3 linked regions of the Saccharomyces cerevisiae S288C genome follow. Changing the gene in region 2 together with the main gene of any one other region gives a genetic interaction. Each region holds a gene or a part of one and is shown on either strand. Other genes may lie near its edges. The genes, in order: RPL40B, DYN3 and FAB1.

What was found.
Region 1: mutations in DYN3 (region 2) and RPL40B together harm fitness more than expected from each alone (negative genetic interaction), as found in Saccharomyces cerevisiae (3 studies listed by BioGRID).
Region 3: mutations in DYN3 (region 2) and FAB1 together harm fitness more than expected from each alone (negative genetic interaction), as found in Saccharomyces cerevisiae (2 studies listed by BioGRID).

Annotation. Positions count from the first base shown.
Region 1 is NC_001143.9:617,403-620,813, forward strand, and holds RPL40B (ubiquitin-60S ribosomal protein eL40 RPL40B fusion protein), read right to left. Parts: upstream 1,349-3,411; coding exon 1,341-1,348; intron 973-1,340; coding exon 594-972; downstream 1-593. Other genes in the region: PTR2 (Ptr2p), read left to right, coding at 1-133; MLP1 (Mlp1p), read left to right, coding at 2,403-3,411.
Region 2 is NC_001145.3:863,912-867,510, forward strand, and holds DYN3 (dynein light intermediate chain), read right to left. Parts: upstream 1,440-3,599; coding exon 501-1,439; downstream 1-500. Other genes in the region: sphingosine N-acyltransferase subunit LIP1, read left to right, coding at 1-360; ADE4 (amidophosphoribosyltransferase), read right to left, coding at 1,648-3,180. UniProt on the Saccharomyces cerevisiae protein: Component of the cytoplasmic dynein which acts as a motor for the intracellular retrograde motility of vesicles and organelles along microtubules. May play an important role in the proper orientation of the mitotic spindle into the budding daughter cell yeast.
Region 3 is NC_001138.5:182,488-186,247, reverse strand, and holds the start of FAB1 (1-phosphatidylinositol-3-phosphate 5-kinase), read right to left. Parts: upstream 1,747-3,760; coding exon 1-1,746. Other genes in the region: YFR018C (uncharacterized protein), read left to right, coding at 2,026-3,117; IGD1 (Igd1p), read left to right, coding at 3,387-3,760. UniProt on the Saccharomyces cerevisiae protein: The PI(3,5)P2 regulatory complex regulates both the synthesis and turnover of phosphatidylinositol 3,5-bisphosphate (PtdIns(3,5)P2).

The sequences.
Region 1 (3,411 bases), on a different chromosome or scaffold from region 2:
AGAGGAAGAAATGAACGCTATGGACTACGAAGAAGAAGACGAATTTGATCTCAATCCAATTTCCGCACCTAAAGCTAACGATATTGAAATATTAGAACCAATGGAAAGTCTAAGATCCACCACCAAATATTAGTGCGTTTAATTAACTTACTGTCTTTTTTTTTTTTTTTTTTTTAACCATATTACGTTGACGGGAGTTTTCTGTGCTGCTGTTATTTGTTTCACAGAACTCTCTCCTCTTCCATTGCTATCGAACAGATAAAATGGAATTTCTTTATGTATAATTACTATTGTATAATATTCAGTAAATCTAAATTTTAAGCTCATATATCTAAACACTACAACATGGAAGCAGCTTGTCCTCTTCAGGCTCACTGTATCCGTTTACTCTTATTTCGCGTATTTGCATACCATTATCTCAAATGACTTGTTATTATATCTTGATATATATTGTATTATAGAACAATTTGTGAAGAGAGGTCCATATTAAGATTTCCTCCCATTTACAAATAGAATAGAAAAGGAAATATATATGTAGTAAAAAAATCGTGATGTATACAAACTTTGGATTTGTGGAGATCGTAATAAATCGATTATTTCAACTTCTTCTTTGGACGCAATTGGTTGGTGTGACCACACTTTCTCTTTCTACAGTTGGTAGCTCTTGGTGGTAATCTGGCGTAACATTTACGACAAACAGATTTGTCACAGTTGTATTTGGAAGCCAAGGCTTTCAAAGATGGTTCAATGATACCACCTCTTAATCTCAAGACCAAATGTAAAGTGGATTCCTTTTGGATGTTGTAGTCAGATAGAGTTCTACCGTCTTCCAATTGCTTACCAGCAAAGATCAATCTTTGTTGGTCAGGTGGGATACCTTCCTTGTCTTGGATCTTGGACTTGACATTGTCAATGGTGTCAGAAGATTCAACTTCCAAAGTGATGGTCTTACCAGTCAAAGTCTTAACGAAGCTGTACAAAATTGGAATAAGTTCATTTATGGAGTAAGCACAGACGTGCGTGCGTACATCATAAAGAAAGAAACTTCACGTTAGTAAAAAATATTTTTTATGCGACCAAGTAAATATAACTATGTTATGCAAAATAAGATGGAACAAACAAACCCTTCAGCACATATGCGACATTTTCAATTTGCTCTACAGATTTAATGTAAACTCAGAAGCTTGCCGCAGGTAATAGTTTTTCTCAATTGCTACTTGTTTAATAAATTGTGAGCTTGTCAATCATTTTCCATTTATGTCTTTCGTTTATGGCTTTTTTGCTATCGTATAATCCTCATATTATTTCGAACATAGTATTCTGTATTCGCCGTAACATACATTTGCATTTTGAACCTTTGGTGGCTTTACCTCTTGCTGAACGGGAAAAAGTGATATATAAGGTTGCTCTTATTTGTGTATTTGAGATTATGAGTTGCATACCCATAATGCCTGGGATAGATGGGTAATGGCTAGTATGAGGCGGATCATATGGCGGATTATCCGCCATATCCTATTGCGGTACTTCAGAATCTGAAAAACATGAAAAAAAAAAAAAAGTTCAGCAAAAATGGAAAGATTGCACCCAGACAACTACACAAATCTATTAGAGGCACGGATGGAAATAGTATTTAAAAAGGATTGTCGAAAGATGATATGGCCTCCGATGAGAAGAAAGGCGGCTATCCTCATCCACATATAGAACACAAATGAATGCCAATAGGTAATAAATCACTAAATCTACTAGTTTGTAAAAGGTTCGAAATAATATGTCATAAATTTCGCTGTTACCTTATTGCTCAGGCGCTTAACGCCAAATTGCATTGCCCATCATTGAAGAACACAACCTAACGCGTTAATATCTCAAGCAATGAATTCAAGTATCCCTATGCAAGAATTTAAAAATTTCTCTCTCTATTTGAACTGAACCAGCATTTTTTATATCTCTCCACATATCGCAGAAAGCTTTTCTACTCTCAAGAAAAAATTGAGGGATGGGTCAACCTTCCATAGATTCTATATGGAATAATAAAATTTACTTCTTACTAACATTATATCAGGGTGAATATTACTGACAAAAATAATAACTTAAGTCTTCTTTATAATATGATGATCGACGCGCGGGGTAACGCGCTCTTCCCATCTTTGTTTCCTTTCATTCCTCTTGACATGACAACAAGAGTATATGGGAAAAGAAAACTGGAAGGCAAATTGAATACAGACAGAGATATCAATAAAAGTGGTCCATTGAGTCTTACGGCGCCGGAGAGATACGCTCCATTTACAATATTTACTGATAGATATATTGCTGCCTGTCTATTTTTCCATCTCTTGTGCTGACTAGGACTTAACTGATACTCGCCGAAGCTACACAAATAGTCAGTAACGCCACGTTTTAGGATAATGTCGGATCATGATACTCCAATGGAAAGCATACAAAATGGTGAAAATTCAGACGAAAGATTGAACGCCATTGCGTCTTTTTTCGGTTGCTCTTTAGAGCAGGTTAAATCATTTGACGGTGATGTGGTAAAACACCTTAACGATAAACTTTTACAGTTTAATGAACTTAAATCGGAGAATCTAAAGGTTACCGTCTCATTCGATGAATTGAAGGCTAGTTCTTTAAAGAAAATTGATGGTTTGAAGACAGAAATGGAAAACGTTATAAGAGAAAATGATAAAATCCGAAAAGAGAGGAATGATACTTTTGTTAAGTTCGAATCTGTAGAAAATGAAAAGATGAAATTATCAAGTGAGCTAGAGTTTGTGAAAAGGAAGCTCGATGATTTAACTGAGGAGAAAAAGGAAACCCAGAGTAATCAACAGCGAACCCTGAAAATACTGGATGAAAGACTAAAAGAAATAGAATTGGTCAGGGTTGAGAATAATCGCTCCAATAGTGAATGTAAGAAACTACGCTCTACAATAATGGATTTAGAAACAAAACAACAGGGCTATATTACTAATGACCTGAATTCTAGAACTGAACTGGAAAGAAAAACACAAGAATTGACTTTATTGCAGTCAAATAATGATTGGCTAGAAAAGGAGCTACGTTCAAAAAATGAACAGTATCTCTCCTACAGACAAAAAACCGACAAAGTAATTCTAGATATCAGGAATGAATTAAATCGTTTAAGGAATGATTTTCAAATGGAAAGAACGAATAATGATGTTTTGAAGCAAAAAAATAACGAATTGTCAAAATCTTTACAAGAAAAACTACTGGAAATCAAGGGTCTATCCGACTCCCTAAATTCCGAAAAGCAAGAATTTTCTGCAGAAATGTCCCTAAAGCAACGTTTAGTGGACCTTTTAGAATCACAATTGAACGCTGTAAAAGAAGAATTGAACAGTATAAGAGAGTTGAACACTGCAAAGGTAATAGCAGATGATTCAAAAAAACAAA
Region 2 (3,599 bases):
TTGCTGATCGCTGCGGTTGAATACTTCAAGTATGGTACAAGAATTAACTATGAATGGTTCCATTGTACCCCAATCAAAGAACCCCAGTCTGGCTCAGTAATCAAGCTTTGGGCACGTGGTGGGCCAAGTTGTGACAAAAGAGGCGAATATAAAACTATAGTAAAGAGAATCACTAGAGATTATGAACCAAATGATGAACATCTCTCGTTCTGTATCATCGAGAATGATAATGTTCCACCCGTCCACTACCCAATTCACGAAGATAAAGGTGAACCTGGCTACGTAGCTTATGTCGGGTACGACACAGACTCTGAGCTGGTTCAAGAACTATGTGCTGATTCCACAATTTATCACATGTGAATTCTTTCTTTTACATACATAAACATAGAAGAAATCCAACCCTGATATAGGGATTTATAAATGCGTGTGCATATCTATATTTATACATATAAAGAGAAAAAAATTGCTCATGATAAAAGAAGTATCGCCTGCCCACTTTCCTAAATCCTCGAATTTTCCCTATATTTTGCGAACATTTTGCCTAATTCCTCTTGAATATTAACTTTGAAAACTTCTAAAGGATATAGTTTATCAAGGTCGATACCAGAGGTTGTTTTCCTATCTTCTCTGATTTTATCAATTGTTGGTATAAAGTCCATATATCGGGCCAAAAAGTGTTGCTCTTTCACCTCAGTAGGCTCAAATCTTTCGTCTACTGTTTTTATCAATCCAATAGAATCGCACCCCTTCGGTATTAATATCTCACTGCGTTTGACCATTTCAATATGATCTTTCATATCTCTATCTTCACAAAAATGCTTTAGAAGCTCTTGGTATTTAAGCCTTTGTGCTTCCTCTCGTTTCTCTTCGGTATGGTCTTCGCATATATAGAATAGTGAGCTATCATTAAAATAGCAAAACGATCTTAACGTTTGCAAAATGAAGTCAATATGTACTGACTGCCATACTGTAGTGTGTCTTTGTAAGTTTAATATTTCGCCACTGTTTAAGCACCATACAGAAAATTCATTATCGTCATTCAGTTGCTTAATTTTATTGAATGCGTAGGATAGTTCATTCAGCCACAACTTTTGGTCGTTCAGTGTCCAATCTAATAATATGAGCCAGCGAACCTTCGAACTATGTTCTTGTAAAAACGGCTTTAGAAGATCTAGTGCATCGTCAGTGTTTCTTATTAGCGTGTAAACATCGACAGAATAATTTTCCTTTAAGTCGTTGGTCCATCCTATGGTGGCGTAATTAATCAAAGTGGTATCCAGTATTGAATTGCTTCCCTCTGGAAAACAGATATTTATAAATTGATGCAGTGTTTTACTTGATGGGGAATATATGATTGCTGTTATCGTAGCAGTCTCTGTGCTGTTGATTGTGGATTCATTCTGAGACAATAATTTGTCCCAGGCATTACAATTATCCATTAATACATACAATTCTTTTATCTTCTTTTCTTTTTGTACAAGTTGCGGATTACTTCTCTTTGTTTACCTTTTTGCTTTTATTTTTTTTTTTAATACGTGCATATATATATATATATTTAGTTTAGGTCAGAATACAAAGATAATTATGTATAAATGGGCGCATTTGGAAACTATTTTACATACAACTGAACAAGTTCGGAACAATCTATCAATAATCTGCACAATTATATAATCCGATATCGACTTCAGCCTTCATATCTGATGAATTATTTGCGATCGATTCACGTTTTTCTTCCAATTCTTGAATATAACCGTCTTCAACACCAGTGACATAATTTCCGGTAAATACACCATCTTCGAATTTGGTTATTTTATCAGTTTTACAACAATCAATCAAATCTTCCAATGATTGGTAAATGACTCTTTCACAACCGATTACTTCCGCCACTTCTTCATCGGTTCTGTTATAAGCAATCAAGTTCTTTGTGTCTGTTAAGTCAATACCATAAATATGGTTGTAACGAATGGCTGGGGCAGCTGAAGCGAAGTAAACCTTTGTTGCACCGGATTCCTTGGCCATGTTAACAATCTCTTTTGAAGTAGTACCTCTGACAATAGAATCATCCACTATCAGAACCTTCTTACCCTTAAATTCAGACTCCATAGGGTTAAGCTTCCTCCTTACTGAAGAAACCCTTTCCCTCTGGTTTGGCATGATAAATGTCCTGCCCACGTATCTGTTTTTAACAAAGCCCTCTCTATAAGGCTTCCCTAACACATTAGCACATTCTAGTGCACATGTTCTTGCAGTATCTGGGACGGGAATAACAACATCAATATCTTCTGGCTTCAGTTGCTTTAGAATATTTTCCGCTAATTTAGAACCCATAGCCAATCTTGTGTGATAAACTGATATTCCATCCAAGACACTGTCCGGTCTGGCGAAATATACGTATTCAAATAAATCAGGTCTATAAGAGTTAATAGGAACCACTTGTTTGAACTCAGGTTCACCTTTGCTACAGTTCTTAGGGATGATAACTGCCTCGCCAGGCTTTAAGTCACGATATTTAGTAAAGTTGTGAGCTTTGAAAACAACACTTTCTGAAGCTAACATATAGTCCTTAGTGCCGTCCGGATTTTCTCTTTCACCGAACAATAATGGCCTAATACCATTTGGATCTCTGAAACCAAATAATGCAAAACCGGCAAGTAAACCAACGCAAGCATAACCGCCACGGCATAAACGGTAAACACCTTCTAACGCGTGGAAAACATCTTCATTGTTAACTCTGTACTTGTTATGTTTTTCCAGTTCAGCAGCAAAAATATTCAATAGTAACTCCGAATCACTGTCCGTGTTAATATGTCTATGAACGTCTTCATCCATATATCTCTTCAATGATGCAGTATTCACCAAGTTACCGTTATGTGCCAAGTTAATACCGTAAGGACTATTGACGTAAAATGGTTGCGCTTCTGAATTAGCCGAAGACCCGGCTGTAGGATATCTCAAGTGGGCAATACCCATGGAACCAGCAAGACCGGAAACACGTTGTTGGGTAAATACGTCACGAGCCATACCATTACCTTTACATTGGTAGATTCTACCACGAGAACCACAGGTAGCTATACCAGCTGCATCTTGTCCACGATGTTGTAGAAAAATGCATCCATCACATAACTCCGGAGCTACTGGAGTGGTTTGGTTTGCTAATACAATACCTAAAATACCACACATTTTTTCTATTCTGCTGTTTGCTGTACCTCTTTCTTTGCTAAACTTATTAGAACGAAATCTACTACTTTCAAGACGATGTCTTCGCAACTATGACTTAAAAGTGAATAAAATTGTACGGTGGCTGTTGAAATTTTTCTAAAATGAAAAAAAAAAAAACGAAGGACTTTACCTTGACTTAATAATAAGAATCTGAAAAGTACAAACCTATTATTGAAATTGTAAGTAAGCAAACTTTAAATACACCGAAGCTCTGACATTTGCCGCATGAGCAGTCATTCGGATTCATGATCCCAGATTATATTTTATTATTCATGTTCGTTCTAACTCTGTCCTGTTATTTTCGGTCAGGAAGAGTCAATACATCGGGTCATTGAAAAACCGCGGAGAAAGATAATAACTTTTCTTTTTTCCTTAAATCT
Region 3 (3,760 bases), on a different chromosome or scaffold from region 2:
ATTATTATTATTATTATTATTATCATTATTTCCATTTGCCGTGTCATTTTGTTGCGAAGGACCTTTGGAATTGTAGTTGAATTTAAACTTGTAATTTCTATGAGCATAATTCCCGATAATACGATTGGCAGGATCCAGTATGGAAGAAGACTGTGCAGACGAAGCGGGTGTTGCAGAGCTATTGTTACTGTCCTTGTTAACACTATTGCTGCTTACATAATGGAAAATAGACCTTCTTAAGGAATGCGCAGGATTATTGATGTTGCTGTTGCTATTGGTATTGTTATAGTTGCTGTTGTTGGAAGTAGTGTTGTTGAGGTTGTTGATGGTAATAGTGCTGTTATTGGTGTTATAATGTGGCCTCAAAGTGGAATTAGAGTTGGTATCGTAATGTGATATATTGTCCATATCTCTGATAGTGTACCTTGTGGGCACGGAATCGAGGTGATGATGGCGACCGGGGTTGTCATCTTGATAATGCAAAGCCCTATCGTTTTCCGAATCGAATGAGATTTCCAGCGATCCGCCTTGCTTTGTTGCTGGGATGGCCATCTTCGGTGGTGGTGGGGGTGTAGAAATGAACAATTTAGAATCTTCACCTGAGGTCATTATACTTTGTACGTCATCGTCATTTAATAGGTAGACCTCATTCTGCTGTTGAGGGTTATCCGTTGCTGCTACTGGATCATGGAGATCGGTACCGTTATGGTTGTCCTGTGAAATGAGATGCAAATGCGAATGTGAATGAGAATATGGATTGGTATTGGAAGAACGAGAGCGAGAGCGAGACCTTGGCTCATTCAATTGCATTGTAGAATCATTCTCTTCATCACTGGAGTCCTCGTATGTGTCTGCATGCTCATAACAATTGTAACATACTCGCATCTTGGCATGACAGCCGAATCGATCACCATCTATCAAGAGAGTGCAACTGCTGCAAAAAATTTGGCCGCATATCCTGCAGTGGTGTTTCCTTCTGAAAGTGTTAAACGTTTTACCACAACTGAAACATTCTTTAGAACTCTCGTCCTTCATCCAATATTCCTTTGAGAGGACACCATTGTTACTGGTCTTGTCCTTCTTGCGGTTGTTATAAAATGCGAACAGGAAACTCTTGGACAGGGATGCGGTCAACGAAGAAGAGGCACTCTTTATCGAAGACACTTCATCGCCAACGTCGTCATGATCGCTGTCAGGAGTGCGCGCATAGGAATTCTGCATGGAAATTGGCCGATTGTTCCTAATGGGGATAGCAGTAACAGTGGATTTGGAGGCATATATGCTAGATCGTTTAAAGTTGGAGTCGTTCTTAATGGGCAGCTGCAGCGAGTGAGAAGGCTTATAGCGACTCGGATATCTCTTGATGGTGCTAGAGGGTATCCTCCCACTAGTTGTTGGCGGCAAATTTTTCTTATTCACGCTGGTACTAGTGTTAGCATTAGCTTTAATGTTCGAATGCGACGCAGTGCCGGTCACGTGACTTGTTGATGTCGCTGTTGCTATCGAGGATGATGTGGGGGGGCTTATTTTTGGCACGGAGATATTGCTCAGAATTGGGTTTGTCACTAGATCCGTCGTAGTCGACGTCGTAGATGTCGACATAATGTGCAGGGACGGTTTCTTAATATAGTTCGGTCTGGATAAGGTAGCATCGATTGTGTTCACAGATGAAGTACCAGTGGAGGACGACCGGACATGTGAGCCATCTGGAAAGGATATAGATGCATGGGGTTCTTCCGATGACATGCTGTGTGACGGTCTTGCATGTACAGGATGGAAGCTACCTTGCTATTCGAAATAGTTTTTTGTTTGGCCCTTTATTTACTTTCCATATGGTTTTCGCGTTCGTCAAGAAGTACATTGCGTTTGCGTTGCCTTCGAGGCGAGACGAAGGAAGGAACATAAGAATATAAGAAGCAAAGGAATAAGACGGCTTGTGATACATTTCATGGGAAGAAGAGGGGGAGAGGGAGAGTTAGAGAGAGTCAACAGAAAAGAAATAAAAAGACTGAAAAGGTCGTAAGCATGGGAATGAAGTACGTATTGCCTTTGCGACTAATTGGTCTAGCGTACCTGTTGGTGCTATTTCAGGTGCATAGGGTAACTGGGTGGGAGTTGTCATATGAGCAGTACCATGCAGCGCATCTGAACGAAGCTATCAACCCAGACAGCGGTTGGAACAAAAGTACCAAGAACCTGCTGTTGCCTTTTAACAGAACGCGCGTACCCGGATCGGAAGGCTCGCGCGAGATCCAGCGCTTCATCATCGAGCACTTCAACAATACGCTGGCGGGAGAATGGGCCGTTGAGACGCAAGCCTTTGAGGAGAACGGTTACCGCTTCAATAACCTTGTTATGACATTACAAAACAATGCGAGCGAGTACTTAGTGCTCGCTGCTCATTATGATACCAAGATAGCGCCCACGGGGATGGTGGGCGCTATCGACAGTGCCGCCTCGTGTGCCGCGCTGCTATATACGGCCCAGTTCCTAACGCACATCGCGTGCCACGAGCGCACGAAAGAGTACAATGACTTAGAGTCGAACACTGTAGTATCGAATTCTACCTTGGGTGTAAAGATCGTATTCTTTGATGGAGAGGAGGCCATTGAAGAGTGGGGCCCCGAGGACTCGATTTATGGAGCACGCCGATTAGCCGCCCAATGGCTTGCTGACGGCACGATGACAAGAATTCGCCTATTATTTCTTCTGGATCTTTTAGGAAGTGGCGAAGAGGAGCCGCTAGTGCCCAGCTACTATGCAGAGACACATCAAGAATATCAGCTGCTCAATCGAATAGAGGATGACTTGTTATTTCGACGTGGAGATGAAATCAACGGCGAATCGGCATTAGCCGCCGAAGTCGCGCGTCAACGCAAACATCTGGACCCCACGGACTATCGATTTTTAGGGCTCGGGCATTCGGTCATCGGAGACGACCACACGCCATTCCTGGCCGCCGGAGTACCCGTATTACATGCAATCCCGCTACCATTCCCAAGTACATGGCACACCGTGGATGATGACTTCCGGCACTTAGACGCCGCGGAGACTCGTCACTGGGCGCTGCTTGTGTGCGAATTTGTAGTACAGTCACTACGCTCCCGTAACCAGTGATAAATCCCCTGTTTCCTTTCGTTAACATCTCCCCCTGATCTGGGGGATGTGGGGTGGAATGAGTGGCCCGGTCAATGTCAGTGCACCACTCTGAAAAGCTTGCACACATACATATACATATATATATATATATATGTAGGTATAGTAAAGGTTTGCCTGAGTAATTTTTGCGCGAGAGATCTACTATCAGCAGCGATGAGAGCAGCTACATAACACATAGTAAATCACACATCTACGCAACACACACACACACGCATACACTCACCCTCATGACAGATCCCCACTTGAACACGCCCCAAGTGAGCACGTCACCCACATTTGAAAGATCACAGGACTTCCTCAACATCGACGAACCGCCCTGTGCACAGGAAACACCTAGTGTTTCTACATTCAACCTCCCGGGTCCAAGCGCTCCCGCTCAAAGCGTAGACAAGCCAGTCCCCATGATTAGACGGCGGTCTACCAATTATATGGACGCACTAAATTCCAGGGAACAAGCCCGGGAACGCGAAAGCAGTATCGGGGAGCACGCCCCGGGAGCCGAACGTAGGAGTAGCGGACCCATGGATTTCCAGAATACTATCCACAATATGCAATACAGGACCACTAACGACTCTGACCTGAGCCACGCTGGCGTGGATAT